7 linked regions of the Cricetulus griseus genome follow. The protein of the gene in region 1 purifies or fractionates together with the protein of each later gene. This does not show direct contact. Links are inferred from orthologs where the notes say so. Each region holds a gene or a part of one and is shown in the gene's direction. Other genes may lie near its edges. The genes, in order: Sf3a2, Plrg1, Sart1, Snrpa, Ddx42, Prpf3 and Dnajc8.

The links.
Region 2: the proteins of Sf3a2 (region 1) and Plrg1 purify together in Homo sapiens (affinity purification with mass spectrometry; 3 studies listed by BioGRID and IntAct, with this or other methods). This does not show direct contact. The link is inferred for Cricetulus griseus from reciprocal best matches to the Homo sapiens genes SF3A2 and PLRG1.
Region 3: the proteins of Sf3a2 (region 1) and Sart1 purify together in Homo sapiens (affinity purification with mass spectrometry; 3 studies listed by BioGRID and IntAct, with this or other methods). This does not show direct contact. The link is inferred for Cricetulus griseus from reciprocal best matches to the Homo sapiens genes SF3A2 and SART1.
Region 4: the proteins of Sf3a2 (region 1) and Snrpa fractionate together in Homo sapiens (co-fractionation; 3 studies listed by BioGRID and IntAct, with this or other methods). This does not show direct contact. The link is inferred for Cricetulus griseus from reciprocal best matches to the Homo sapiens genes SF3A2 and SNRPA.
Region 5: the proteins of Sf3a2 (region 1) and Ddx42 purify together in Homo sapiens (affinity purification with mass spectrometry; 3 studies listed by BioGRID and IntAct, with this or other methods). This does not show direct contact. The link is inferred for Cricetulus griseus from reciprocal best matches to the Homo sapiens genes SF3A2 and DDX42.
Region 6: the proteins of Sf3a2 (region 1) and Prpf3 purify together in Homo sapiens (affinity purification with mass spectrometry; 3 studies listed by BioGRID and IntAct, with this or other methods). This does not show direct contact. The link is inferred for Cricetulus griseus from reciprocal best matches to the Homo sapiens genes SF3A2 and PRPF3.
Region 7: the proteins of Sf3a2 (region 1) and Dnajc8 purify together in Homo sapiens (affinity purification with mass spectrometry; 3 studies listed by BioGRID and IntAct, with this or other methods). This does not show direct contact. The link is inferred for Cricetulus griseus from reciprocal best matches to the Homo sapiens genes SF3A2 and DNAJC8.

The regions. Positions count from the first base shown.
Region 1 is NC_048598.1:101,580,290-101,584,350, forward strand, and holds the start of Sf3a2 (splicing factor 3A subunit 2), read left to right. Parts: upstream 1-1,261; 5' UTR 1,262-1,409; intron 1,410-3,770; 5' UTR 3,771-3,806; coding exon 3,807-3,932; intron 3,933-4,044; coding exon 4,045-4,061. Other genes in the region: Plekhj1 (pleckstrin homology domain-containing family J member 1), read right to left, coding at 483-549, 623-690, 774-867. UniProt on the Homo sapiens protein: Component of the 17S U2 SnRNP complex of the spliceosome, a large ribonucleoprotein complex that removes introns from transcribed pre-mRNAs.
Region 2 is NW_023276806.1:71,273,978-71,276,788, reverse strand, and holds part of Plrg1 (pleiotropic regulator 1), read left to right. Parts: intron 1-238; coding exon 239-388; intron 389-573; coding exon 574-675; intron 676-1,371; coding exon 1,372-1,474; intron 1,475-2,430; coding exon 2,431-2,539; intron 2,540-2,811. UniProt on the Homo sapiens protein: Involved in pre-mRNA splicing as component of the spliceosome. Component of the PRP19-CDC5L complex that forms an integral part of the spliceosome and is required for activating pre-mRNA splicing.
Region 3 is NC_048596.1:53,945,745-53,949,863, forward strand, and holds the start of Sart1 (U4/U6.U5 tri-snRNP-associated protein 1), read left to right. Parts: upstream 1-1,319; 5' UTR 1,320-1,395; coding exon 1,396-1,708; intron 1,709-3,850; coding exon 3,851-3,908; intron 3,909-4,119. UniProt on the Homo sapiens protein: Plays a role in mRNA splicing as a component of the U4/U6-U5 tri-snRNP, one of the building blocks of the spliceosome. May also bind to DNA.
Region 4 is NC_048602.1:8,724,761-8,728,792, forward strand, and holds the start of Snrpa (U1 small nuclear ribonucleoprotein A), read left to right. Parts: upstream 1-1,232; 5' UTR 1,233-1,373; intron 1,374-1,835; 5' UTR 1,836-1,857; coding exon 1,858-1,930; intron 1,931-3,702; coding exon 3,703-3,875; intron 3,876-4,032. Other genes in the region: CUNH19orf54 (UPF0692 protein C19orf54 homolog), read right to left, coding at 1-278. UniProt on the Homo sapiens protein: Component of the spliceosomal U1 snRNP, which is essential for recognition of the pre-mRNA 5' splice-site and the subsequent assembly of the spliceosome. U1 snRNP is the first snRNP to interact with pre-mRNA.
Region 5 is NC_048600.1:119,185,218-119,188,717, forward strand, and holds part of Ddx42 (ATP-dependent RNA helicase DDX42), read left to right. Parts: intron 1-1,136; coding exon 1,137-1,265; intron 1,266-1,958; coding exon 1,959-2,058; intron 2,059-2,586; coding exon 2,587-2,634; intron 2,635-3,315; coding exon 3,316-3,413; intron 3,414-3,500. UniProt on the Homo sapiens protein: ATP-dependent RNA helicase that binds to partially double-stranded RNAs (dsRNAs) in order to unwind RNA secondary structures. Unwinding is promoted in the presence of single-strand binding proteins.
Region 6 is NW_023276806.1:60,668,367-60,671,866, forward strand, and holds part of Prpf3 (U4/U6 small nuclear ribonucleoprotein Prp3), read left to right. Parts: intron 1-1,375; coding exon 1,376-1,519; intron 1,520-3,288; coding exon 3,289-3,388; intron 3,389-3,494; coding exon of another isoform or gene 3,495-3,500. UniProt on the Homo sapiens protein: Plays a role in pre-mRNA splicing as component of the U4/U6-U5 tri-snRNP complex that is involved in spliceosome assembly, and as component of the precatalytic spliceosome (spliceosome B complex).
Region 7 is NC_048595.1:20,719,148-20,722,647, reverse strand, and holds part of Dnajc8 (dnaJ homolog subfamily C member 8), read left to right. Parts: intron 1-1,370; coding exon 1,371-1,437; intron 1,438-1,964; coding exon 1,965-2,059; intron 2,060-3,500. UniProt on the Homo sapiens protein: Suppresses polyglutamine (polyQ) aggregation of ATXN3 in neuronal cells.

The DNA.
Region 1 (4,061 bases):
GTATGTGTACATATTGATGTATTGTTTTAAGGGAGAGGTGAAGACATCAGAAATTGACATCTGGCCTCAATATACACGTGCAAGAAGCAGAAATTAAGGGTAGTGATGGAGAACCCCGTGATGATGGAGGAAGACATGAGGGCCAAATGTCTACAGGACGGTACTGTAAAGATCACCAAGGAAGAAGGCTGAATCAGATGTCACTTCAAAACCTCAGAAGCCCTGCCGGCGGGAGGAACTGTTTATGCCACACCAACAAAGTCTGCGCAGGCTGCTCATATCCCTGCCGTGAACAGGTACTGAAGGCGGGGAAGAAACTATGGTCGCACCAGCGGGGACCAGACCCGGGGGCAATTTGACAGCTGATGCAGCGCTGGGCCCCGGAAACTCGGGATCCAGGACAAACGGAGGTTGGGGCGGGGGTGGGGAGGGGTGTGCGGAGCAGAGTCCGGAGTGGGGACTGTGGGGACCGGCGCACTTACTGATGGAGAAGCCGCCGGGCTCTTCCTGGGCCACTCTGCAGCGCTCCAGCAACAGGGCTCCGAGGGGCTGCGCGAGACACGGCCATGAGCGCCGGCCGGCTCCGGGCCGCGCGGGCCCCCCGAGCCCCCCACGCCCCTACCTCGGCCTCGTCCGGGCGGAAGTAGAAGAGGAAGTTGACGACCAGCTTCACCAGCCGCCTCTTGGCCACTGCGGACACGGGGCGGTGTCAGCGGGAACTGTCCTCCTCCGCCCCCCGGGGAGGTGCCCAGCCGCGGCCCCGGCTCGCTCACCGCTGCCCTTCTTGGGGCCCCGCATGCCCAGCTCGGCCGCCATCTCCGCCGGCTGACGGGACAGCGCCTGCAACTCCTTCTCGTTGTACCGCATCACGCCGTGGGGACCCGCGCGAACCGGAGGGCGCCCTGCCTCTCGGCCGCCGTCCGCTCGGAAGGTGCGCTCAGCACCACAAAAGTCTCAGGGAACATTCCCGGAAGTCCCAGCAGAGCTACTGCGCCTGCGCGCCGGGGCGCTAGCGTGTCTGCGGGCGCAGTTGCTCGCAGAGTCAGAAAGGAAGGAAGTCGCCCGTCCTAGGTAACTGTCAAACACACTAAACGTGAGGTATCAAGCTAGATCCGTAGCACCCCCTGTCAAGCGAAGCGCGTTCCGAGGCTGCTGAGACATAACGATTTCGTCCTGTCGCGATACTCAGCGAGAGTTCGTGAATAACTCAGTGCGCGTGCGCACTTCGGACTCCGGCGCTCCTTTCACTCGCGCCTCTTTAAACCGAGTCCATCTTCTGGGCATGCGCACAACCGAAACTCCGCCTTATTTTCCCCCGGAAGTGACTGCTTAGTCCGGCCTGCGCGTGCGCACAGCGAAATCGTGGGCCTCGCGGACGTTACGCCTGGGCTGCGCGGCCTTTGGCGCCGGTGAGGTGTTACTCGGCTTGTTGGTGGAAGCTACCCCGGCTTTGGTGTCTCGGAAGGGGGTCGGAAGCAGCAGCGAGGGCGCGGGGCTGGACGGAAGGGCCGGCCGGCGGGCGGCGCGGCGGCGCTCGCGCGGCCCAGTGGCCGCGGCGGCATCGCGGGCTTCCGTGGCGCGTCTGCGGCCCCCAGCGTGCCCCGGTTCCTGAGGGTCTTTTGAGCTCCTTGATTGCCTCAGCTTTCCTCGTCGTTAGTCAGGGCCCTGGCGACTGCTGCTGCCGCCCACCCGAGCCGGTCCTTTGCTGGGACTGGAAGATAACGGTATTTCCATCCCAGGCCGTCTCCTTCTCAGACAGCACTTCGTTTCCCTGTCTCGTTTGTCGGTGATCTTATGGTGGTCCGTGAGGTAGCTCGTCTCCATCCATCCGTTCTCCCTCCTGCCCCACGCCTCACTTGTGAGCGCATCCAGGCGTTGGCAGAACTTCTATTTCAGACAGTGTCTCCCTGCCCAATTCTGGCCGACCAGGAACTCTTACCTCACACACATCGCGGTGCCTCTGCCTCCGGACGACTGGGATTAACAGCATATGCCGCCGCACCTGGCTGTTTAATTTGGAAGGGTTTATTACCGCTGACAGTAGGAGTGCAATTCAGTTTGGTGGGGAAGTTTTGTCCCAGGAGCTTGAGGCAGCTGTAGTCAGGAAGCAGAAAGATAAGTGCTGGTGTTCGCATTGCTTTCCCCGTGTTTCTTTTTCCGGGACTATCTTTTCTTCGTGTGTATGTGTGTCTGTGCATGTGAATGAGTCCAGATCCACTGGAGCTTGAGTTTCGGGTGGTTGTCAGTTGCCCAGTTTGAGTGCTAGAAACTGAACTTGGATCCTCTGGAAGGACACCAAATGCTTTTAAGACAAGATTTTACTGTGCAGCCCAGGCTGGCCTCCAACTCGGGTGTCTTCCTACCTTGGCCTCCCAAGACAAGAGCTGATGTGAAAGGTGTTTGCCACCATGCCCACCACAATTGCTAGTGTTTCCCGAGGTTGAAAATGTCACAGGCTGGGAAAGGTAGCTCAGTGGTGAGATTTTGCAAGACTCTGCTCCTACCCCAGAACCAAGGCGCATGCTCACCCAAGCTAGTTTTGTCCTGGGTTTTCTTGTTTTTTTTTTTTTTTTAGCCTCTCCAAAACAGATGAATTGCATTTTTCATTTAGTGGGTGCCCACACCCCTACACGTGAAAGCAAGACTCTAGGGGCCTTGAGTTGTACCCTCAAGCCTGTGGCTGGCTGGACACCAGAAGTCAGAGTAGGTTTTCATGCTGTCACTGCTCCAGGTACCCTCTTGTTCTGGGAAGCCTGCGGCCAGCCTTGGACTCTGCTCTTGCATCTGGCCAACTTCATCTGTGGGTCTGTGTCTCCTGGTAGCTTTCGAAGGTATAGGCAGTGCTTTTCTTTTTCAGTCCTGTGTGGCTGAGCATGAAACAGACCAGACAGGCTGGTCCTGCCCACAGACAGCTTCAGTACACATGAATGCTCTCAGCCATCCCAGCGTCTTAAGGCCCATGTGTCCCTTGGCTTTTGCCCCTTCCTCCTCCAGAGTCAACAGCCAGCGACCTCACTGTGTCTCTGCCCTGAGTCCTTCTGACTCCATGGTGACACTACCTGGCCCTCGGAGTTTTTGATATCATTTTCAAAATTCCTTTTGCTGTATGAGGCTCCAACAATGATGACAAGGACTGCCCTCCACTTGTCTCCTGGACATGTCCCTGAGTTTACCTCTGGGTTTAAACCAAGGCCCTGGGGCAGACAATGAGCAGTCTAAAGTGTTCTTCCTAGTGGACAACATTCAGGACTTGGAAGACTAGGAAAAAACATAATCCTTGTGTGTCAGATGGGTGTGTGAGGTCTTTTAATCCCAACACTTGATGGATCTCTGAGGACAGCCAGGTCTACTTAAAGAGACCCCCCCCCCCATCTTAATATGACACAGCAGGCAAAGGTGGCTCATACCTGCAGTCACTTGGGAGGATCAGGAGTTTAAAGGACAACCCAGGCTACATGAGACTCTGCCTGTCCCCCACCTACCTCATAACCAAAGACAGATATAATGGCACACCCCTGTAATTTCAGTGCTTACGGGGACCAGGAGTTAAACTAGCCTGAGCTACACAGTGAGTTTACAGCTAGCTTTGGTTACGTGAGACTTGAAAAAAATGACACTAGCCTAGGGTCTTGGGCTGGTTGCTTCTCCACCAATCCACATTCACTCTAAGGGTAAGGTGGAATCCAATCTGGAACATAGAAGGCAAGGGAAGGCCTGCTTGCTGCATGAATGTGTGCTGTTCTGAATCTGTTGCCCTTTTGTTCCTCCAGGTTTCTGTGTGTCCCTGAAGCTTCCAGGCCTTCACCATGGACTTCCAGCACAGACCTGGAGGCAAGACTGGGAGTGGGGGCGTGGCCTCCTCCTCTGAGAGCAACCGGGACCGCAGGGAACGCCTGCGACAGCTGGCCTTAGAAACCATTGACATCAACAAGGTGGGGGGGTACCTACAGTAGGGGTGTGGAGGGAGCAGTGTCCCCACACCTACAGACCCAGGTTCATGGGGCCAGGCTCTGCGATCTAATGGGTACATATGTTCCCTCCAAGGACCCATATTTCATGAA
Region 2 (2,811 bases), on another chromosome or scaffold:
TCCCTCAGTATGGATAATGCTGTGTTGTTGGTATTTTCACAATCAGTAGATCTTTTTATGTATTGAGAGTAGTAACCTCGTCCTTGTCACTTTTTGCAAATACTTACCAGTCTGAATGTGCCTTATTTTCCCTCTTATATGGAGAGGCATCATTTTAAAGAGTCTGAGTGTTCTGATTTTGTGTGTGTGTGTGTGGGGGCGGTAACCAACGTAAAGAAAAACAACTATTTGATTTCAGATTTGGGACTTGGCTAGTGGAAAATTAAAGCTGTCATTGACTGGCCACATCAGCACAGTGCGGGGTGTGATCGTAAGCACAAGGAGTCCTTACTTGTTCTCTTGTGGAGAAGACAAACAAGTGAAGTGCTGGGATCTTGAGTATAACAAGGTAAGCTTAGAGCAAAGGTGTTCAAACTGCATGAGCCACAGTTCATTGTGTTTATACTGCACTACTGGGATTGAATCCAGGGCCTTTTGCAAGCCAGACCAACTCTCTGCCTTGGAGCTGTATCCCCAGGCCCCAGTGTTGATCATTCTAATTTTATAACTCGGAACTTCTGCTTTTATCTTCAGGTTATACGGCACTATCATGGCCATCTAAGTGCAGTGTATGGTCTGGATTTGCATCCAACAATTGATGTCCTGGTGACTTGTAGTCGAGATTCAACTGCCCGGGTAAATGAGATGTAGCTGTGTGCTAGTTGTTGGTGTCTGTATCTTCTCATATGCAAACTTGATATTAGCATGTTATTTTCTCATAAAGAACAATAGATTCTTGATTTATCAACAGTCTGGTCTCTTTTAGGATTGGTGCCTTCTCTGTTTGTTCTGTTTGCTGTTGTCAATGTCCTGCCACTGAATTGTGACAGCTTTGTATTCTTGGCCTGTGGTTCCCAACCTGAGGGTCTTGACCCCTTTGAGGGTTGAACAACCTTTTCAGAGGGGTTATAAGACCATTCTGCTTATCAAATATTTACATAATTTACAAAATCATAATTTACAAAAATTATGATTCATAACAGTAGCAAAATTATGGTTATGAAGTAACAACAAATAATTTTATGGTTGGGGTTTACCACAACATGAGAAATTGTTTTAAAGGGTTTCAACATTAGGAAGGTGAGAACCACTGCTCTAGGCCATCACAATGTTTGTTCATTACCAGCTTAATTCTCTTGTCCCATTGTGGGACTAAGCTGATAGGTCAGTATCCTGATCTTTAGACTTCTGTCTTTCCCCATAGCACGTGGATCATTGTCTCCCATTTATGCATTCTCTTCGTTATGTTCAGATACACTGGTGTGGAAAACTTAGAGCTCTCAGGTATAAATATCTATTATTTTTCATAGCATGTTGGTTATATTTTTACAGATCTGGGATGTGAGAACAAAAGCCAGTGTCCACACTTTGTCTGGACACACGAATGCAGTCGCCACTGTAAGGTGCCAAGCTGCAGAACCACAGATAATTACCGGTATGCTAAGCTTCTCCACCCTACTGTCTCTTCATACCAGATGCACTGCCATTCAGCGCTGTAGCTCCTCCAACTCCTGCTTTGTGTTGTGTTCTAGTGTCACTTTGTATTTTAATCATGGCATTTGAAACTTATGTGTTAGGTGTTATGAAAGATGTCTATAAAACTGCCATTAGATAGTCAAGTGTTGCTCTAGAGTGTCATGACTCTCATTCTAGGGAGTTAAAGTTAGAAAATACCCTGCCACCAACATCTTCAGATCTGGTCTTACTTGAGTCTTACTTGAATGACTGGGACTTTACTGTGACAAAACATTCTTTCACTTGGTTTTGTTAATTAGAAATATAAGATGAAATAATTCAGCTTTTCCTTTCCCAGCCACTGGGGGATAAAATTACATGTTTGGTTCATTTGCTATTTATATATTTTGATAGGTTAATCAGGTATTTATTTTTCTTATTTTTAGATTTATTTGTAGAAGTGCTTTGCCTGCATCTGTGTATGTACATTATGTGTGTACCTGGTGCCTACATAGATCAGAAGAGAGTGGCAGATTCTCTGGAACCGGAGTTACAGATGGATGTGCATCACTGTGTGGGTGCTGGGAACCAAACCAGGCTAAGAAGTGCTATTCAACACTGAGCCTTCTCTCTAGTGCCTCAATCAGGCATTTTAAAAAGAACTAGATATAAAGTAAAACTGTAAGGAAAGTATTCACAGTGGTAGGACTTCTACTTAGTGTATGTTTATGTACAGAGGAGTGCTTTGTGTTTACTGTATTCTAACTTGTGGATTCTGTCATTGTCTCTCTGTCGTGTCCGCGCGCGCCCCCCCCCCCCGTGTGTGTGTGTGTGTGTGTGTGTGTGTGTGTGTGTGTGTGTCTCTCTCTCTCTCTCTCTCTCTCTCTCTCTCTCTCTGTACTTGTATTCATGTGTGTGTGTGTGTTTTCGTTACAGGAAGTCACGACACAACAATACGATTGTGGGATCTGGTAGCTGGAAAGACAAGAGTAACATTAACCAATCATAAGAAGTCAGTCAGGGCTGTGGTCTTACATCCACGACAGTAAGTATGTTTTGCTAATTAGCTTTTCTTTCTCCATGCCTTAGTGAACTCCAACATCAGCACTGCTTTTGCAGTCCTGCAGCCTGTGCTGCTTTTGGACAAACTTTCTTTAATTTTCTGTCTGCTGCTATTTTACTTCACGCCCTGTATAGAATGAAGGAGGAAGTCTCTACATAGTGACAAATAAGACTAAGTCATGCTTAAAACTGCATGTTAAAGTAGGAGGTAATAATGGCTGAGTATGTTTTACTTTTTACATGTCATAGATGGTG
Region 3 (4,119 bases), on another chromosome or scaffold:
TAAAAATTAAATGCTTATGGCAAGTATGGTGTGAGACTTCTGACGGGAGTTGGTTATGCATTGTGGGGCGGGGGGGGGGCAGTGGTAAGTGGGTGGCCTGGACTTAGCTACTTCCCACATATTCTGGGAACCCTGGCTGCACCCCTTCCTCGGCAAACACATGCTGTCTCTGCTACTGAGTGGGACACCTAGAAATGCTAGTGAACAGGTCCACCTCTGAAGACTCAGTAGTAGAGCAGAGCCGTAAAGGAGCAGGAAAACCATACCAAAACACGCCGAGGTGTGCTACACAGGAAACCCACAGAGGAGCAACTAGTAGCAGAAGGGAGTGTGTGAATCCTTAACTTTAAAGCTCATCTCCTCAAGACCAAAACAAAACAACCAAACCAAACAAGCAATCAACCAAATAAAAAAGCCCAGGAAGAGAGAAAAGGCTGGGAAAGCAAGGCATTGTGGCTTGTGCCTGTAATCCCGGACTGAGGCCACATAGTTAACGGGACAGAGGAAGGAAAGAGAGAGGGGGGGGGAGGGAGGGAGGGAAGAAGGAAGGGAGGAAGGAAGGCAGGCAGGCAAAAGAAAAACGGATCTGCCCAATTTGCACTTGAGCCTGGCTTGGGCGAGCATGCCTGAAATCCCGGCCACTCGCAGCACACGGGAGGCTGAACCAGAGGGTTCGAGACCTGCCAGGGCTACGTAACAAGCACTAGGCCAACCAGACCTATATAGACCCTATCTTAAAAAGAAAATTAGAAACAAAAACAGCACTCAATTTCACGGGGTTCACAGGCACAAATTCATAGTGTTCCGTAGCAGTCCAGAGCTCAGGTTAAAAAGACCCAATCTACCAATCCAGGGAAAGTGGGCGACGGTAGCATTCGCTGGCAACAGTGGTTTATTGGGGTTGCAAGTCTGGGGCTTTGCAGCTGGTTTCTTCAAGAAGAAAACATGCGGTATCTTCCAACCCCGGACGGATCCCCGGCCCCGGGGAGCCTACGAGAAGGACAATCACTGGAGGAGGGGACGCCCACGAAGAGGCTTGAGGCACAGAGCGCCACGAGGCTCTCGGAGTGGAAAGGTCAGGGAAAGAGCTCCCAGCTCCGCAGACGGTGGCTTTTAGCACGATTCCAAAGCTGTTACAGTTCTAACCCGGGAGAGCCAATGCCGACCCCGTAGCCTCTACAGGTGCACATGCGCAGAGCCAGTCCCCGGGAGCCGGGAATGCGCAGTCTCAACCCGTCCCTCCCATGAGCCTCTGGAGGTTCCCAGGCCGGCCCCGGAAGCAGCCGCTCTTAGTTTCCGGCAACAGCGCAGCGGCGGCCGCACGACCCGGAAGTATTCCCATTTTGCGTCGTCTGGGCTCGGGTGGCGGCCCGGCTCCAGACGGACGCACTAGTCATGGGGTCGTCAAAGAAGCACCGCGGGGAGAAGGAGGCGGCGGGGACGACGGCGGCGGCCGGTACCGGGGGCGCCACCGAGCAGCCGCCGCGGCATCGAGAGCACAAGAAACACAAACATCGCAGCAGCGGCGGCGGCAGCAGCGGCGGCGAACGACGGAAGCGGAGCCGCGAGCGTGGGGGCGAGCGCGGGAGCGGGAGGCGCGGGGCCGAAGCCGAGGCCCGCGGCGGCGCGCACGGTCGCGAACGAAGTCAAGCGGAGCCCTCGGAGCGGCGCGTGAAGCGAGAGAAACGCGATGACGGCTACGAGGCCGGTGAGGGCGGGGCGGGGGCGGGGCAGGGGCCTGGGGTGCGCGGGACGGAGGGTGCAGGGTGACCGCCAGGGCCTGTGCCTCTCGGGCTGAAGACTTGCTCCGGCTGTTGGGGACTAAAGACTGACTCCCCATGTTAAGCTTCGGAAGGACCGGGGTCTTGCGTTTCCCCTTCCCGTCTGGCACTTGACAGTAAATGCGGTGGGTGGGCGAAAGGAGGAGGTGCGAGCATGCACAGACAGAGGCAAGAGAAACCTGACAGTAGGTGGAATCGTCATGAAGCAGTAAGATACGCTTGGGTCTGAACACCAAGGACCCTGTGCTGTAAGCTCTGTTGAGAAATTTGGGCTTTGTGATGAAGACGGTAGGGAGTCGAGGATTTGAGTAGGGAAGTGGGTTGATTTACTTCATATGTTAAGATCACACTGGATTGAGCTGGGCATTGGTGGCGCACGCCTTTAATGCCAGCACTCGGGAGGCAGAGGCAGGCAGATCTCTGTGAGTTCGAGGCCAGCCTGGTCTCCAGAGTGACTGCCAGGATAGGCTCCAAAGCTACACAGAGAAACCCTGTCTCGAAAAACAAAAAAAAAAAAAAAAAAAAAAAAGGATCTCTGGGTTGAGAGCTTGTCAAAAATAGGACTACAGACCCTGAGATTAGGAGGGAGGTCAACCCAACCAGGTGAGGACTAACAGTGAGTATGCATGTTTCTCCATGCAGTAGGGTGGAGAGACTGGAAAGATTGAATAGGTGTTTAGGAAGTGCAATGAACAAAATTTAGTGCGTGGGCTAAGGGGATGGGAGGGATGAGGAACAGGGAATGCCTCCTGGAGTTTTGACCTTACCCGCCTGGTGAATGGTTTTCATCTGTTGAAGTTGGTGTTTAGAAGACTAGCAGATTTGAGGCAAGGGAGAATGACCCAGTTTGGGAGAGCTTTGGTCAGTGTGTATGGGAAAACCTACAGTTTAAGTGGGATAGAGTGATTTGAGGCTAGTGTGTATTCAGGAATCCAAAGTGCCCTAGAGTGTGTGGAGTGAGAACTAGGATCAGAAATAGAACTTAGTAAATGCCAATAGCTCAATTGTGGGCAGAGAAACATACTTAAAAAATAAAGAGTAGCCAAATGGCAAGAACACTACAGTTGGGTCATAGGATCTGTACAAAGAGATGATTGTTGAAAAGACAGAGTGGTTAAGAGCATCACACACCACAGGGCATTATGCAGAACCAGAACTTGTAAACAAAGGGTTGTTTTCATTTTATGCATTTGAGTGTTTTACCTCCATATGTGAATATGCACTTGGTGCATTCCTAGTGCCTGTGGAGGTTCAGAGGAGGACATTGGATCCCCTGAAAATGAGTTAGGTGGTTGTGAGATGCCATATAGATTATGGGAACCAAACCTGGGTCCTCTGTAAGAACAGCAAGTGCTCTTATCCACTGAGACATCTCCCCAGCCCCTAAATTGAAACTTTTTTTTTTTTTTTAATAATCTGCTAATTGGAAAAAGGGAGACTTGAGACTTGAGAGTTCATATAGAAAATGGGGTCCAGAGCCTAGGTGGAGGAGGAAGGGTTTAAAGAGCAGTGAGTAGTGTGTGACAGGGGACTTGGGCATCCTGGTGGCATCTTCCTCTGTATAGTGTTTATTGAAGTTCTCTCCTGTTTGTGGGGTGGATAGATCAGGTCCAGAGTGCTTCCTTTCCTATGTCCATAGCATCTGGCATGGAACACACACTAGTAAGTATTCCATACACTGCTGTGGGCAGAAAGTGCCAGAAATGACAAGCAGTGCTGTGCCGTTCTAGGCAGAGTTTTAATTCTGGTCAGTAATTGAGCAGGGCTTCATGGAGGAGATGATACTTGCTCTTTTGATAGAACTTTATGAGAACAAGAGCAGAAGGGACTGTGGAGGCTGAAGGTAGAGTGTGGAGATTTGGAGTGGCACAGTGAGGGATGCAGAAAAAAGATAAGGGCCTGGGTAGCAGCTGCAGGGAACCCTGGGGGAAGAAGGCTGCTGTTTTCTGGTGTCATCTACCCAGGTGCTGGTGGGGGCCCTTGTCTTCGACCTTGCAACTGAAGACCATGATGTTGCTTCTTGGTCCCATGTTCATGGGTTCCTTAAGCCGTGCTCCTTATTGTTCTAGCTGCCAGCTCCAAAACTAGCTCTGGAGATGCCTCGTCACTTAGCATCGAGGAGACCAAGTGAGTAGCCCTTATGCTGTTTTGATTTTCCTCTGAGACTGGTTGCACCTGGGGCTGTTACCTATAGAAACTTTTTCAATCTAAATGAAGCCAGTTAGAATTGGAATGGCCAGATGAGTCATACTGCCAACCATAGGAGCTACGTGGAAGAAACTGAGACCCAAGAGGAAGGATAGTCTTCCCCAGTCAGGAAGCCTGTTCTGGAAGCCTG
Region 4 (4,032 bases), on another chromosome or scaffold:
ATCAGGAGCCTCTTTACGTCTTCTCTGCCTTTGGGGACTGGGCCAGCCTTCTCCAAGGCCTCCTTCAGGAGCCGGCTCTTCTCCAGGCCGTAGACATGAGGGGAAACAACCTCCACAGCCAAGGGTGGGGGTGGGGGTGGAGGCGGCGGCGGCGGCGGGACAGAAGGGGATGGCGAAGCTAAGTCCAGGGTACTTGGGGGTAAAGGAGGTGGAATGCTGGCGTCTTGGGGTTCGGGGATTACTGGGGGGACTGTGGGCTTTAAGGGGAAAGACGTCATGTCGGGTCTTCAGGAAGAGCTGATGTGAGGGTGAGAAGGGGGATCCTCTCAAATCTCTCAAGGATGGAGACTTCAGTTTTTAGAGCAACTGGATGTGGTATTCACATGTGGCCCGCACATAGAAACCTGTATTAAAAATTACAAAGAGTTTAAAAAAAAAATTAGAGTTGAATTGCAGAATACGGTGCCTGACCAGTTGGTCTGGGAGAACCTGGGTGGGTATTTCAAACCGTGGGAACAGAAACTGGGCTGAATCAAATGACGAAGAAGAAGGCTCCCCCAAGGTGCGGGCTGTGCCATGGGGATGGAGCGACATTGGGAGGGACTAGAGCTAGCTAGTTTTCTTCATTTCCGTAATCAGGGGGCTCAGATCGGGGGGGGGGGGAGTAAGGCGTGGGGTAACCGGCCTCATCTCACATCTCTGTAATCAGGGGGCTGAGATCGGGGGTAAGGCGTGGGGTAACCCGCCTCATCTCACATCTCAGGGCGCTCAGATCGGGGGTAAGGCGTGGGGTAACCCGCCTCATCTCACATCTCCGGCTCGAGTCTGCAACCTTAGGGTCGATCTTAGGAGCTTAGAGGTCATGAGGTTAAAAGGGCACGCGGCTGGGAAAGCAGCCTAGCGGTGGGCAGCGGTCAGAGTTGACAGCAGGCACAGCGGTCAAGGGTCGCCTAAGGAGCGGGAACTTAGGAACTTGTACACGCTCCCCGCGGAGGGAAACGAGCGGCCTTGACCCGGCCAGGCTCTCCCGACGCGGCCCGGCGGCCACGTGACCCCCCCCCCCCCCGGTACTGGCGGAAGGGGAAGAGGCGTGGCTTCGGAGAGGGCAGCCTGCGCTGGCGCGCTAGCGAGGTCCCGATTGGCCCAGAGCTCGTCGCCTCCTTTGATTGGTCTGCTCACCTGGGGAGGGGGCGGGGACTAGTGCTGAGGCGGGAAGCCGCGTGTCCCTTTCGCGGGCGGGCGCTGAGGCCGGGGAAGAGGCTCTCACTCGGGGCGGTCGCCGCCTGCCGAGTTCGCGCGCCGTCAGCGTCTCGCGGCCGGGGACGGGAAGCTGTGTGTCCGAGCGGAGTGGCGTGGCAGGCGCGGCGGTCCAGGTGGTGAATTCCCGCGGTGGAGACGCCCGCGGGCGCTGGGGAGGCGGGCGGAGCACTTGGCGTCGGGCCTTCGGCCGCGTCGCTTCCGGAGGCCCCTCTTGGAGAGACGAAGGTGTCCCAAATCGGTCCCTGCTGTCTTAACTGGCTCCCACATCCGGGTTCCTTTTTTTTTTTTTTTTTTCCTCCTTGGACGCCGTTCGAGCGCGTGGACCAATGGGGATCGCCGCTGGGTACAGGCTCGCAGAGCATTCTGGGATTCGTAGTCCTCCCCCCCCCCAGCACGCGGGCTGGAGAAGCGGAGTCCTACGCGGGCTTTGTTGCCAAGCTGTGCCATTCTTCCCCAATTCCGGTCTCACCCAACTTCCTCCTGGAAGGATCCCTGAGCAGAGCCCGTCAGCCCCCTGAACAGAGAGTTTTGGAAAGCGTTAGAGAGCTGAAGTCGCCTCTTTTTCTCCCTTTAAGCCGTTTCTGAGCATCTGACACCATGGCAGTTCCTGAGACCCGTCCCAACCACACTATTTATATCAACAACCTCAATGAGAAGATCAAGAAGGATGGTAAGTCCTCCGGGATAGCCCGGAACTCTAGGTGATCTCGCATGAGCTGACCCCTTCCACCTCTAGCGCCCACTTTCCTTTCTCAGCCTTGCCATTGAGTCCTTTAAGAGTTAACTTTGGCCTTTTGTACCTACTGAGCCCTTGGTTCTCAATACACCCTTAACCACTTTACACTCTGCTCTTTAACCTGCACACTGTCGATAATCTTCAAGGTTTTAGCTCACCGGCCCTTCCTTTCTGGGAAGCCCTTTGGGATCTTTCTCTCCCTCAAGCCCAGCGCAGTCTGCTATCATGAGACTGTCTCTTGGCCACTGGCCTCTGGGCGTTGGTCTTGGTGATGAGTTACGATGCAAAGAACGTATAGAAGTGACGGGTAATGAATGCTATGTAACAATGTTCTGTAGTCTTGGAGATATTTAATTCTCAACAAGCCTCTCAAGATTAAGAAATTGGAATTTGGGTGGTAGTACTTGCCCGTGATCAAATACCAAGAAAAAAATGGTTGGGACACAAGTGTGCGGTTCTGTTAAGCAAATTCTTGAACTGCTTGAATGGCAGATGGCTGTAATTCTGTTACTTAGGGAAAGGGACTCCCAGAGTAACTCCCAGATGGCTGCATGATCACAATGAGTGAAAAAGATACCAAAGACAGTTTCTTTGGGTGTGGTGGTGTAGGCCTGTAATCCCAGTACTCAGGAGACTGAGACAGGAGAATCTTGACTTCAGACCAGCCCAGGGTACATAGCAAGACCCTGACTCCAAAAGGTCTGAGGAATACAAGTAGTCTTGCCTAGCATGGGTAAGGCTCTGGGTTCTGAACCTCAGCAACTAAGAAACCTACTTGGCCTGGTGAGATGGCTCAGTGGTTAAGAGTACTGCCTGCTCTTCCAGAAGACCTGAGTTTGATTCCTAGCACTCAAGGGAGGTTTATAATGTGTAACTCCAGTTCCAGGGCATATGACATCCTCTTCTAGCATCTGCAGGCAAAATAACCCACGCACATAAAATAAAAATATTTTGGGCTGGCTCACGCCTTTAATCCCACCACTTGGGAGGCAGAGGCAGGCAGATCTCTGAGTTTGAGGTTGGCCTGGTCTACAGAGTTAGTTCCGGATGGGGGGGGGCGTGGAGGGTGTCAGGGGAGGAGGGGGGGGGGGAGAAAGGGACCTGGGATTGACATGTAATTTTCTTCCTAATTAAAATAAAAAAAAAAACCAAAAACCTTGTCTCAAAACAACTATATATTTAAAGGTTGTACAATTTTTATTTGTTTATTGTGTATACAACATTCTGCTTCTGTGTATGTCTGCACACCAGAAGAGGGCACCAGATCTCATAACGGATGGTTGTGAGCCACCATGTGGTTGCTGGGAATTGAACTCAGGACCTCTGGAAGAGCGGTCGGTGCTCTTAACCTCTGAGCCATCTCTCCAGTCCCAAGGTTGTACAATTTTAAACAAAACCCCACACCAAATAATTCCGTTCTTGCCTGGAAGTAAGGTCCTGGAGTAGAATGTTTACTTTTCTACAAAGGCTGAATTCTAGCACACATACAAATAGTAAACAGAAGCAAGTATTTTTATGTATTTATTGTGTGTGTGTGTGTGTGTGTGTATGAATGTGGGTTGTAGTGCTGTAGCATTCTGGGTAATTTGTCACTTGGCAGTGGCCCCTTGTTTGAACTGTTCATCATCCAAGGATAGTTAGTGCAGGTCCCAGGACACAGTGCCCAGGCCTTTTGTTACAGTGTGTCTTGTTTTCCCTGAATGCAGAGCTCAAGAAGTCCCTGTATGCCATCTTCTCCCAGTTTGGCCAGATCCTGGATATCCTGGTGTCTCGGAGCCTGAAGATGAGGGGCCAGGCCTTTGTCATCTTCAAGGAGGTCAGCAGCGCCACGAATGCCCTGCGTTCCATGCAGGGTTTCCCCTTCTACGACAAGCCCATGGTGAGCATCTTGACTATGGAGGCTGTAGGAAGCTGGGTGGGTGTGGCCTGTAGTGTTCCGTGAGGATGCTACTTTTCTTGCTTGGTCCTTTACTTTCAGTGTTCCTTAATCTGGGGCTGTGGGGACACAAAATGATCAAGACACTGAGCATGATGGC
Region 5 (3,500 bases), on another chromosome or scaffold:
TACCATGCTCACCCAGCTTTTGTGTGGGTTCTAGAAGTCTAAATGTGAGTCCTCACACTTGCATGGCAAGTGCTTAACCCACTGAGCCTTCTCCCCAACCTCCCCCTACTTCTGTTTTAAATGTGTTAAAACTGTATACAAAATTGTATACTTCAACCATTTTAAGTGTATAGTTCGCTTGCTGACAGTAAGTATATGCACATTATTATGCTCCCAGGAAAGTCTTGAAAAATGTTAGATACTATCCATTACAAAGATAACATAATTTTTTTTATTTTACTCTCAAACTTTCTTGTTAAACTGATAGGATCAAAAAGAGGATGAGTAGGCCAGGCAGTGGTGACGCAACACCTTTAGTCCCAGCACTTGGGAGGCAGAGGCAGATGGGTCTCTGTGAATTCGAGACCATCGAGACAAGAGCTAGTTCCAAGACAGCCTCCAAAGCCACAGAGAAACCCTGTCTTTAAAAAAGAAAAAGAGCATGAGTGACTCAAAGCAAGATAATACCTGTATTTTAGGATTAAGATGGCTGTGATAGCCATGCCTTTAATCCCAACACTCAGAGGCAGAGGCAAGAGCCTGGTCTACAGAGTGAGTTCCAGGACAGCTAGGGCTGTTAAACAGAAAAACTCTGTCTTGAAAAGCCAAAACAAACAAACAAACAAACCAAAGAATGTTGATTTTTAAATCATGTTCTAGAATTTGGTATTTCTCCCACCCACATTTGTTTTCATGTGGGGTTTTTTGGTTGTTTATTTATTTTTGGTTGTTTATTATTTGGTTGGCTTTGGTTGTTGTTGGTGGTGTGGGTATGTGTTCAATAATAGGAATTGCGCATATAGCCCTTAAGTATTAGGCAAGTGTTAAACTATATTCCCAGCCTCTTCTGTTTGTATTGTTCTAGTTTTTGTTTTTTCAGTTAGTATCTCATTAAATTACCCAGATTGGACTTGGACTTGCTATCTTCCTCCTAAACCTCCCAGGTACCTAGAATTAGAAGCCTATGCCACTAGTCATAGCTAGGTTTTGATTTTTCTGTAATAGAACACACTGTGTTGTTCAGAACTCTCTTTTGAGGAATGGTAAAAGTATTTATTAAAAGCTTATTTTTTAAAATATTATTGATGACTTTTTAGATCCATGCCGAATGTAAGCGGTTTGGGAAAGCATATAATCTCCGCTCGGTGGCCGTATATGGAGGAGGGAGCATGTGGGAGCAGGCCAAGGCCCTTCAGGAAGGAGCAGAGATTGTTGTGTGTACCCCAGTAAGTATATCGTGTTCAGTGATCTCAATCCCTCTTGATATAGAAAACGGGATTACTTTTGAGGGGAATTCTCTCTAAAATGTAAAGCTAGGTTGGGAATACCCTGGTGAGTTGCTGCCTTTTGTTTTGGTTTAATTATTAGTTGACTAAACCGCAATCTAGTTATAACATCCATGACCCATGCAGCTCCAAGTTTTTTCCTGTTTCAAACAGGTTTTCTGAGGCTCTCCTAAAAGCTGTATCTGTGGCTATCAAGAATGTGAAGAATATAAAGATACTCAGATAATGTTTAGAGGCACCCAGAGGATGTAGGTTAAACATTCAGAAGCTTTTAAGTCTTCTCAGAACATATTACATGAATGGTTCCAGCCCATTTATTCATAGAATTTATAATTAATATAAAGGAAGAGTTTGATTTTAGAATTCTATTTTTGCTCAGTATGGTGGCATTTGCCCTTAGTCCTAGCACTTAAGAGGCAAAGACAGGTGGACCTTTGTGAGCTCCAGGCTACTCAAAAACACCCTGTCTTAAAAAAAAAATTTGTTTCTCTATTTTTCTGAGGTTGTTGCATAAAGGCTGTCAGATCAGTATCTTTTTCTAAGACCAAAGAATTGACACTTTTTCCAGGAATGTAGCTGTAAATGTCTTTGTGAATCTTTTTATACTTAATATTCATTTTGTGACTCTCACAGGGTCGGCTGATTGATCATGTGAAGAAAAAAGCTACTAATCTTCAAAGAGTCTCTTACCTTGTGTTTGATGAAGCCGATCGGATGTTTGACATGGGATTTGGTATGCCTTTGAGTATTAGTTTCTTGTGTCCCTGTCCTGAAGTTAGTTTATTCCAAGTTAACTAGTACTTTTAATCGTGAAAAAGTTAAAAAATACTTCTGGATTTCAAAAGAAGGGATAGACCAAGCCATGAGCTATGTAGGTGTTTTTTGAAGGGAAGTGTGCTAGTCTTGACTGTATTGAGAAAATTTACAAGTGCGCATAACAGAGGGAATGTTTTCTCTATTCTTTATTTTTAGTCACAGGCCTTTGAAGGTTAAAGTCTATACTCTTGGGTAGGCAAATATTAAATCATGCAAGGTCCTTTCCTGGTCCCTTTGGCTTAACCAGCTATGCAAATTTCTAAATAACCATATCTACCCAGTTCGGCAACTCTGAAGTGTTTTTGAAATTTCATACTGCATGATGTCTAGGAGTTTCAGGACTTTTTTAATCCTTGGAAGTTGTGTGAATGTCACTAACGTGACTTTTTACAACTCTTTTAACACTATTACAGTATTATGTTGATTACTGTTCTGTTTCTTTCAGAGTACCAGGTTCGGTCCATAGCAAGTCATGTCCGTCCTGACAGACAGAGTATGTATGAAGCAGCTTTATAATAAAAGTATATTTATATTCAAGATGAACACCTATTCTATAAGTACTCACAGTTGTGGAAGCGAAAATTACTGTGTATACACTGATGATAACTGTAAAGGGGAGAGTTAATGACCATTTATGTGCTCTGAAAAAGACCTTAGAGGTTACTAGATAGAACTCTTGTACTTTCTGTTTTCCACAATAGTGAACCTAAGTCTTCCTGCATATTAGGCAAACACTCTACGTCTCTGTGTTACATGCATATCTCCAGGCCCCCCTTTTTTTTATCTTATTGTTCAGGTAGAGTTTTGCTAAGCTGACTAGGCTGTGCTTGAACACTCACTCTGTATAACCTAGACAGACCGTAAACTTGCAGTACTCCTGCCTCATCCTCCAAACACCTGGCACTACAGATCTATGCCATCAGGTCCAGCAAACTGCTCACTTTTTATAGATAATAAAACTGAAATTAAATAATTTGCTGCAGTTTAATTGCTGATTTGAAATCAGAGCATTTTCCTGAACCATTTTGACAACTCATTTCTTGATTGAAAATAAAGTAAAAACAAAAGAAAGAAAATCATTTTTATTTAGTTGAATCGGTTGCATTACAGAAACTTAATCAGTAGACTCAGTAAGAAATGCTTGTTATTTTGTTTTTTTGTTTTAATCTTTTAGCTCTCTTATTCAGTGCAACTTTTCGGAAAAAGATTGAAAAATTGGCCAGAGACATCTTGATTGACCCTATTCGAGTGGTGCAGGGAGACATTGGAGAGGTAATATTACACAAGTCAGGGTAGCTCCTGGGATTTTTTATAGGGACATAAAGAGTTTAATTCTTTTGTTTTGTTTTGTTTTGTTTT
Region 6 (3,500 bases), on another chromosome or scaffold:
ATAGTAAAAGTCCAGTAGTTCAGTCAAAAGAGGTGATTTAACTTGATGTGTTAGTAGATGTCTATAAACCCACCACTGTAGAGACTTGTGATTCAGTGTAAGCATGGGATACATATGAAGACCCTAGCTCAAAAGAGGGAGGTTTTTTGTTTGTTTTTTTAACTTGAGTAATGTGTATAGTTGAAGATGGAGACAGCAGAGGTTATAGTTGTGTCTGTTTTCCGTAGTTGAGTGTCTTCAGTAAGTCACTTAGAGCATTGAGAATTTTCTCACAGAACAGCTGATATTTATAAAATTATGTGCTCACTGAGGTCTGGCAGTGGTAGTATGCCAGTATATGGGAGGCAGAGGCAAGGTACATCTCTATGAGATGGTCTACAGAATGTGTGCCCATATATACATACACACATATACTAATACCCACGCACGCACACACACACACACACACACACACACACACACACACACACACACACACGCACACACACACGAGCACACACACACACACACACACACACACACACACACACACACACACACACGGGGAGGGCGGGGGGGGGGGGGGGGTGTTTAATATGGGTGCTGGGAATTGAACTTGTGTCCCCTGGAAGAGCAGTAATTACTCTTAACCACTGAACCATCTCTTTAGCCAGCCCCTTCCACAGGGATCCCTCCCACCCCCACCCGTTTCCTAGTACTAAAATTGAGGTGGTATTTGTATAGTAGTTAACATACATAGCTTCATTCCCAAGACAAAACTTATTGTTCTGTAGGTTAATGGTTTCTAAATTGTATTCCGTGGAAACAGCAAAGTTCAGAAAGTAGGACTTGAGTGAAATTCTAGAAACTTTTTTTTTTTTGGTTTTTCGATACAGAGTTTCTCTGTGGCTTTGGAGGCTGTCCTAAAACTAGCTCTTGTAGAGCAGGCTGATCTCGAACTCACAGAGATCCGCCTGCCTCTGCCTCCCTAGTGCTGGGATTAAAGGCCACCACTGCCTGACTAAAATTCTAGAAACTTTTACCTCTCCAAATCCTTACCAGGGCTACGGTTTACACATTTCATTTGGTGAAAGTATTCAACTATTAAAGGAAAAACAACCTAGAACATTTTTTTTCAGAGATTAATACTTATATTTAGTAAAACGTAACCAAATTATCCCTCTCACCACTTAGTAACTAATAAGCCAAGCACAGTTAGTGAATGCCTGTCATCCCAGCAATTTTGAGGTGGGAACAGTAGGTAGAGTTCAAGGTCAGCCTGGACTACAAAGAAAGACTGTTTCAACTTCCTCCCTCTGTTGTTCTATGTGATGGGTACTTACCTAAATACTTCTGTGATCTTAAGCTTGGGTAACTCGTTTTTTCTTTCTCATAGTCGACAATGATACACCAGTTACCCTTGGGGTATATCTTACAAAAAAGGAACAGAAGAAGCTTCGGAGGCAAACAAGGAGGGAAGCACAAAAGGAGCTACAAGAGAAAGTCAGGCTCGGTCTGATGCCTCCTCCTGAACCCAAAGGTAAGTGTCTAGCTGGCCCTGATACCACAAAAGTCAAGTCAGTCAATTAGTCTGTCTTTTTTCATCGAGAGGCACTTTAACTGGTTGGGGGTTGTTGTTTGTTTCTCTGAATCATTCACAGTTTCTTTTCTTCCTTTCTTTTCTTTTTGTAATCTATGCTATGTTTTCTTATGACAGATCAAGACATTTTATTAAAGAAGTCATTTAGCGCTTATTTTTAAGCATTATTTGCTGTATTGGCTCCCTACAGTTTACAGAAAGGATGCTAGTCTTCAGATTCATGAAGGCAGGCAGATCTCAGAGGTTGGGACCAGCCTTGTCTACAGAGTGAGTTCCAGAACAGCCAGGGCTAAATAGAAAACTCTCTCTAGAAAAAAATAAACAAAAAAAATCATGAAGACAATAGTTGTGGTATTTATGGATTTTTATGTATTTTTATTTATTTTGTTGTTTTTTTGTTTTTGTTTTTTTCGAGACAGGGTTTCTCTGTGGTTTTGGAGCCTGTCCTGGAACTAGCTCTTGTAGACCAGGCAGGTCTGGAACTCATAGAGATCCACCTGCCTCTGCCTATCAAGTGCTGGGATTAAAGGCGTGCGTCACCTCCTGTCCATATTTATGGAATTTTATACATGATTCTTAACATATAGACAGGCATGATGGCACTGGCTGGTAATCCTAGGTTTTGGGACGGTGAGACTGGAGGATCTCATGTTACAGACTAACCTGTATTACACTGGAAGTTCCAGGCCTGTCATAGCTACACAGTGAGACCCAAACTTACAAACGAAAAGTGGGCATGGTTATGAACACCTTTAATCCCAGGAATCAAGAGGCAGAGGTTGGCCTGGTCTATATACTGAGTTCCCGGTCAGCCATGGCTACATAGAAAATGACCCTTTCTCAAAAAAGAAAAAAGACTTTTCAAAAATATAGAACTAAGCATGTACACTCCCCCGACTTCTGAGTACTTGAGATCTGGGGTTTAGGGATGGCAAATTTCATGCCAGCCAAGGCTGTATAGGGAGACTTTGTCTCAAGAAAACAAAAATAGCCAGGGAGGGGGTGGTGGCACATGTCTTTGAAGCCAGCCTGATCTACAGAGTAAGTTCTAAGACTGGCTCCATAGCTACTGAGAAACCCTGTCTTTAAAAACCAAAAAAGAGAGAAAAGAAAACAAATGCTAGAGAGAGATGGCTCAGTGGTTAAGTACAGACTGCTGTTGGAGAGGACCTAGGTTCAGTTCCCCCAGCATCTAGATGGCAACTTTGAACCATCTCTCACATGCTTTCTAGACTCCATAGGTACTGCATACTGTGCTTACATACTCACAGGCAAAGCATTCATACACATTAAATGAAACTAAAGTCTTTGTAGTGGAGAGACGTCAAGACAGGATTTCTGTGTATCCCTGGATGTCCTGAACCTGCTTTGTAGAGAGATCAGTCTGCCTCCACCTCCGCCTCCCATGTGCTGGGATTAAAGGCATACGCCACCACAACCTGGTTTATAGGGTTTGTTTGTTTTTTTAATGCAGATGAATGAGAGATAAATGCTTTTTCATGATAAAAATCACTGAATTTTTTAGATAGTTTGATCTTCTACAAAATCACATTAACTGAGTGGGATTTTCAGGGTAGAAATTATTGTAGAAAGTGAATTTTGAACAGAGATTTGAAATAAGCAATGTTTGTGAGCTAAAACAACAAAACAGATTGTCCTAGCTAGAGAAATAACTTAGGAGATTGATTGCTGTCCTCTCTCCTTTGTAGTGAGAATCTCAAATTTAATGCGAGTATTAGGAACAGAAGCGGTCCAAGACCCTACGAAGGTAGAAGCCCACGTCAGAGCCCAGATGGCAAAGAGACAGAAGTAAGTGTGGTGGGTGGGTGGGGCCCAGGACACTGCCTTTCCAGACCCTCCTGGGGTCCATATTGGAGGGAGGGGAGAGTCCTCTGTTGCTCTCTCTTTCCCTTAGCCCTGC
Region 7 (3,500 bases), on another chromosome or scaffold:
TCACATTTGGATGGGGCCTGGCTGGTGTTGCCTGTAATACTCCGATTCTGCACAGTGGTCTTATTAATATACAGGGCTTCCTCCAGTGCAGTTGATTTCTCCACATTGCTGACTCATAGTTACCTCTGATCTCCCAGCAAGCTATATTAAGCTAAGATGGTTTTTTGTTTTTGCCTGCTCAGTCATTTCCCATTATATAACTTTATAGTTTTATTCTTCCTGAGCACTGATCTAGGCTTAAACTCAGCGTGCCACCCCCCCCCCCTCCAAGGTCTTGTTTTTCCAATACAGTCCAGTAACAGTTGTCCTTAGACTTTTCCTGTAGCTAATGAACTTGAGTTACAAGTTCTTACTGACTTATTAGATGGCCTTATAATTAAGAGTACATATGACTTTAGTTTTAATTTGTTCTCTTACTTAGGAGCAGTGTGCACTTGAACACGTGCTTTGGACCTTTCTGTGTCTATTTTACCTCAGTTGGTAAATGTGTCCAAATATTTAAATCAGGTATTATATACAGTAGGCTTTCAATGGATGTCTTGATACTTTGTATATGCTAACCATTGTCCATGGATATTTGTGTGCAAATTCATTCACTTCTTCCTTTTGTTTTCTTTTTTTCTTTGATCTCTCTCCCTTCCCTTTACCATTTCCTCTTTTCCATTTACTGTCATCCCTTCCCTCTTCCCCTCCCCCCTTTCTTCTTACCTATCCCACAGGGTCTCACTTTATAGCCCAGGCCAGCCCTGAACTCAATTCTCCTCAGTGTTGAGATTTCAAGAAATGGGCCCTTATATTCAATTTATGCTCATTACTTGCATTGTTCATTTTGTCCACACAACAGACTATTTAGATGTAGGTACTTTGTATTTTTCCAGTGATAAAGCAGGAAGCCAAAGTGAAGATAAGCTGAGTTACTCAAGGTCTCGGAGCTAGCATGTGATTGAAGTTAGAATTACAAACTGTCTCTGGCACTTCAGGGGATTAACATTAGATTTTCATCTCCCAACACGGATTCTTTTTTTGCTTCAACTAGTTTCGGTCCATCTGTGACAGCAAGTCAGGAATCTTTTAAATGTCTTAAAGAATCATCTCTGGAGGTTTTCTTTTTTTAAATAGTTTATTTATTCTGTGTGAGGGTGTTGGATCTTTGAGTTATAGACAGTTGTGAGCTATCATGGGGGTGCTGGGAATTGAACCCAGGTCCTCTGGAAGAGCAGTCAGTGCTCTTAACTGCTGAGCCATCTCTTCAGTCCCTGGAGGTTTTCTTATAAAAAGTTCATGTTTTGTTTATTATTTACTGGTGTGTGTGAAGAGTTCCAGTCACTTGCATGAACTGTTGTTGAGCCTGACTTTTCTCTTCCATGTAGTTGTCTATATTGGTGCATCCTGACAAAAATCAAGATGATGCTGACAGAGCACAGAAGGCTTTTGAAGGTATTTGTAAATTTACCTGCTTTTGAATACTATATACTGTCAGTGCTAAGGAGTAACTGGTTATGGATAAGCTGTGGATTTCAGTAAAGCAGCCATTTAAGCAGAATGTTAAAGAAGTATTCCTTGGGGGCTGGGGTATAGCTCAGTGCTTGCCTGGCATGCTTGAGGCCCTGGGTTCAATCCCCAGCACTGCAAAGAAAATGCACCTTAACTTTGCTTGGTTAAAACTTAGGTGTGTACCAATATACTTTTATTACATAGGATCTTTTTTCTCTGAACATAAGTAAAGTGGGAAATACTTTATCAATGTTTTAATCTAGATGTGCTATGTCTAGTTGAGTGTATAATTTTTTTTCCTAAGACTTTCAAGGTTGTATGCTTTTTAAAAAATGAGTTTAACAATGGTAAATAATGTAACAAAGTAGGGAATGTTTTTAGACAGTGCAAGTCCATTTACACTGCCTGAGTATAGCTCAGACTTTGAGAGGGTATTTGCAGAAACAGTTAACTTCAATGTTTTGCATTAGCTGTGGACAAAGCTTACAAGTTGCTACTGGATCAGGAACAAAAGAAGAGGGCCCTGGATGTAATTCAGGCAGGAAAAGAATACGTGGAACACACTGTAAGTATTTCTAGTGCTGCTGTGTTTACAGGAAGTAACAGCAAGCTGTGGGCACTGTGTAGAAGGGTATATGCAACCTACCAGTACTGACCACGTAGCTAGTGACCACTTTTATTCTCTCTACCACTTCTGTGGTGCTCATGAATAGCAAGCAGCAAAAGCTAGCATTCTTCAGAGAGCTCAGGGTAAGGAGTGGTTAGTACACTGCCACTCCCACTCCTGTGTTGTGTAGATGGCCACTTTGGCCTCCCAACCAAGTAGCCATGCTATCCCATTGAGAGTGGAGAAGCAGCGTGGCTGTGGCATTGTTGACTCCCTGGTTTTTCTTTAGTTGCTGTGAAAGGTTTGAAAATGAGAGGCTGTCAAGGAGCTCTGAGTGGGTTGTAAAGCAGGAGGAGGCACATGTTTAGTTAATAAAAAGACTCTGAAGACTCATTTGAAACAAGTTTTAGCTTTTGTTTATTTGTTTGTTTAAAATGGGGTCTTGCTGGGGGTACAGGGTATCCTTCAACTTCCTAGGTAGCCTGGACTGGCCTTAAATTCTTAATCTGCTGCCTGACTTGCTGATCCATGGAATTCTGGATTATATGCCATTGCATCCTACAGAAAGAGCTTTCTTCTTTTTTTGGTTGGATTATTTTGAGAGTCTTATGCAGTTCATGCTAACCTCAAATTAGCTATATACCTGAGGCTGACCTTAAATTTCTTTTTAAGCCGGGCATTGGTGACGCATGCCTTTAATCCCAGCTCTCAGGAGGCAGAGGCAGGCAGATCTCTGTGAGTTCGAGGCCAGCCTGCTTTACAGAGAGAGTTCTAGGACAGCCAAGGCTACACAGAGAAAACCCTGTATTGACTATCCCCTCCCAATTTTTTTTCTTTTTAAATCTTTTAGCTATGTTTATTTATGTGTATGAGTTTTTTGTCTGCATGTATGGGCATACCTGGTGCTCAGAGAGGTCAGAAGAGGGTGACGTGATCCTCTGAAACTGGAGTTAAGAATGGTTGTGAGGTTCTGTGTGGGTGCTGGGAACTGAACCTAGATCTTGGAGCAGTCAGTTCTCTTGACTGCCAAGCCATGTTTCCAGCCCTGGCCTTGCGTCCTTGATCCTTCTTATGTCCAGCTGCTAGGATTATAGGCATGCACCACTATGCCCAGCTAGAAGGCTCCTCTCTCTCCTCTTTTTTTCTTTTTCTTTTTTTTTTTTCTTTGCCCCTTGGAGTGAGAATCAACCATTTACAAGAGCAATTTTAATGGTGAGTGTATCAGGAGTCCATCTTTGTTTTGAAGAGCTTTGGAATCTGAAGTGGAAGTTTATGGGCAATAATAATAATAATAATAATAATAATAATAATAATAAAGACAATCCATTTTATATGAAGACAATGAGGAGAAAAGTAGGAAAAGGAAAGGTGTACAACCAGGTCCTGCTGGTTGTGCTGA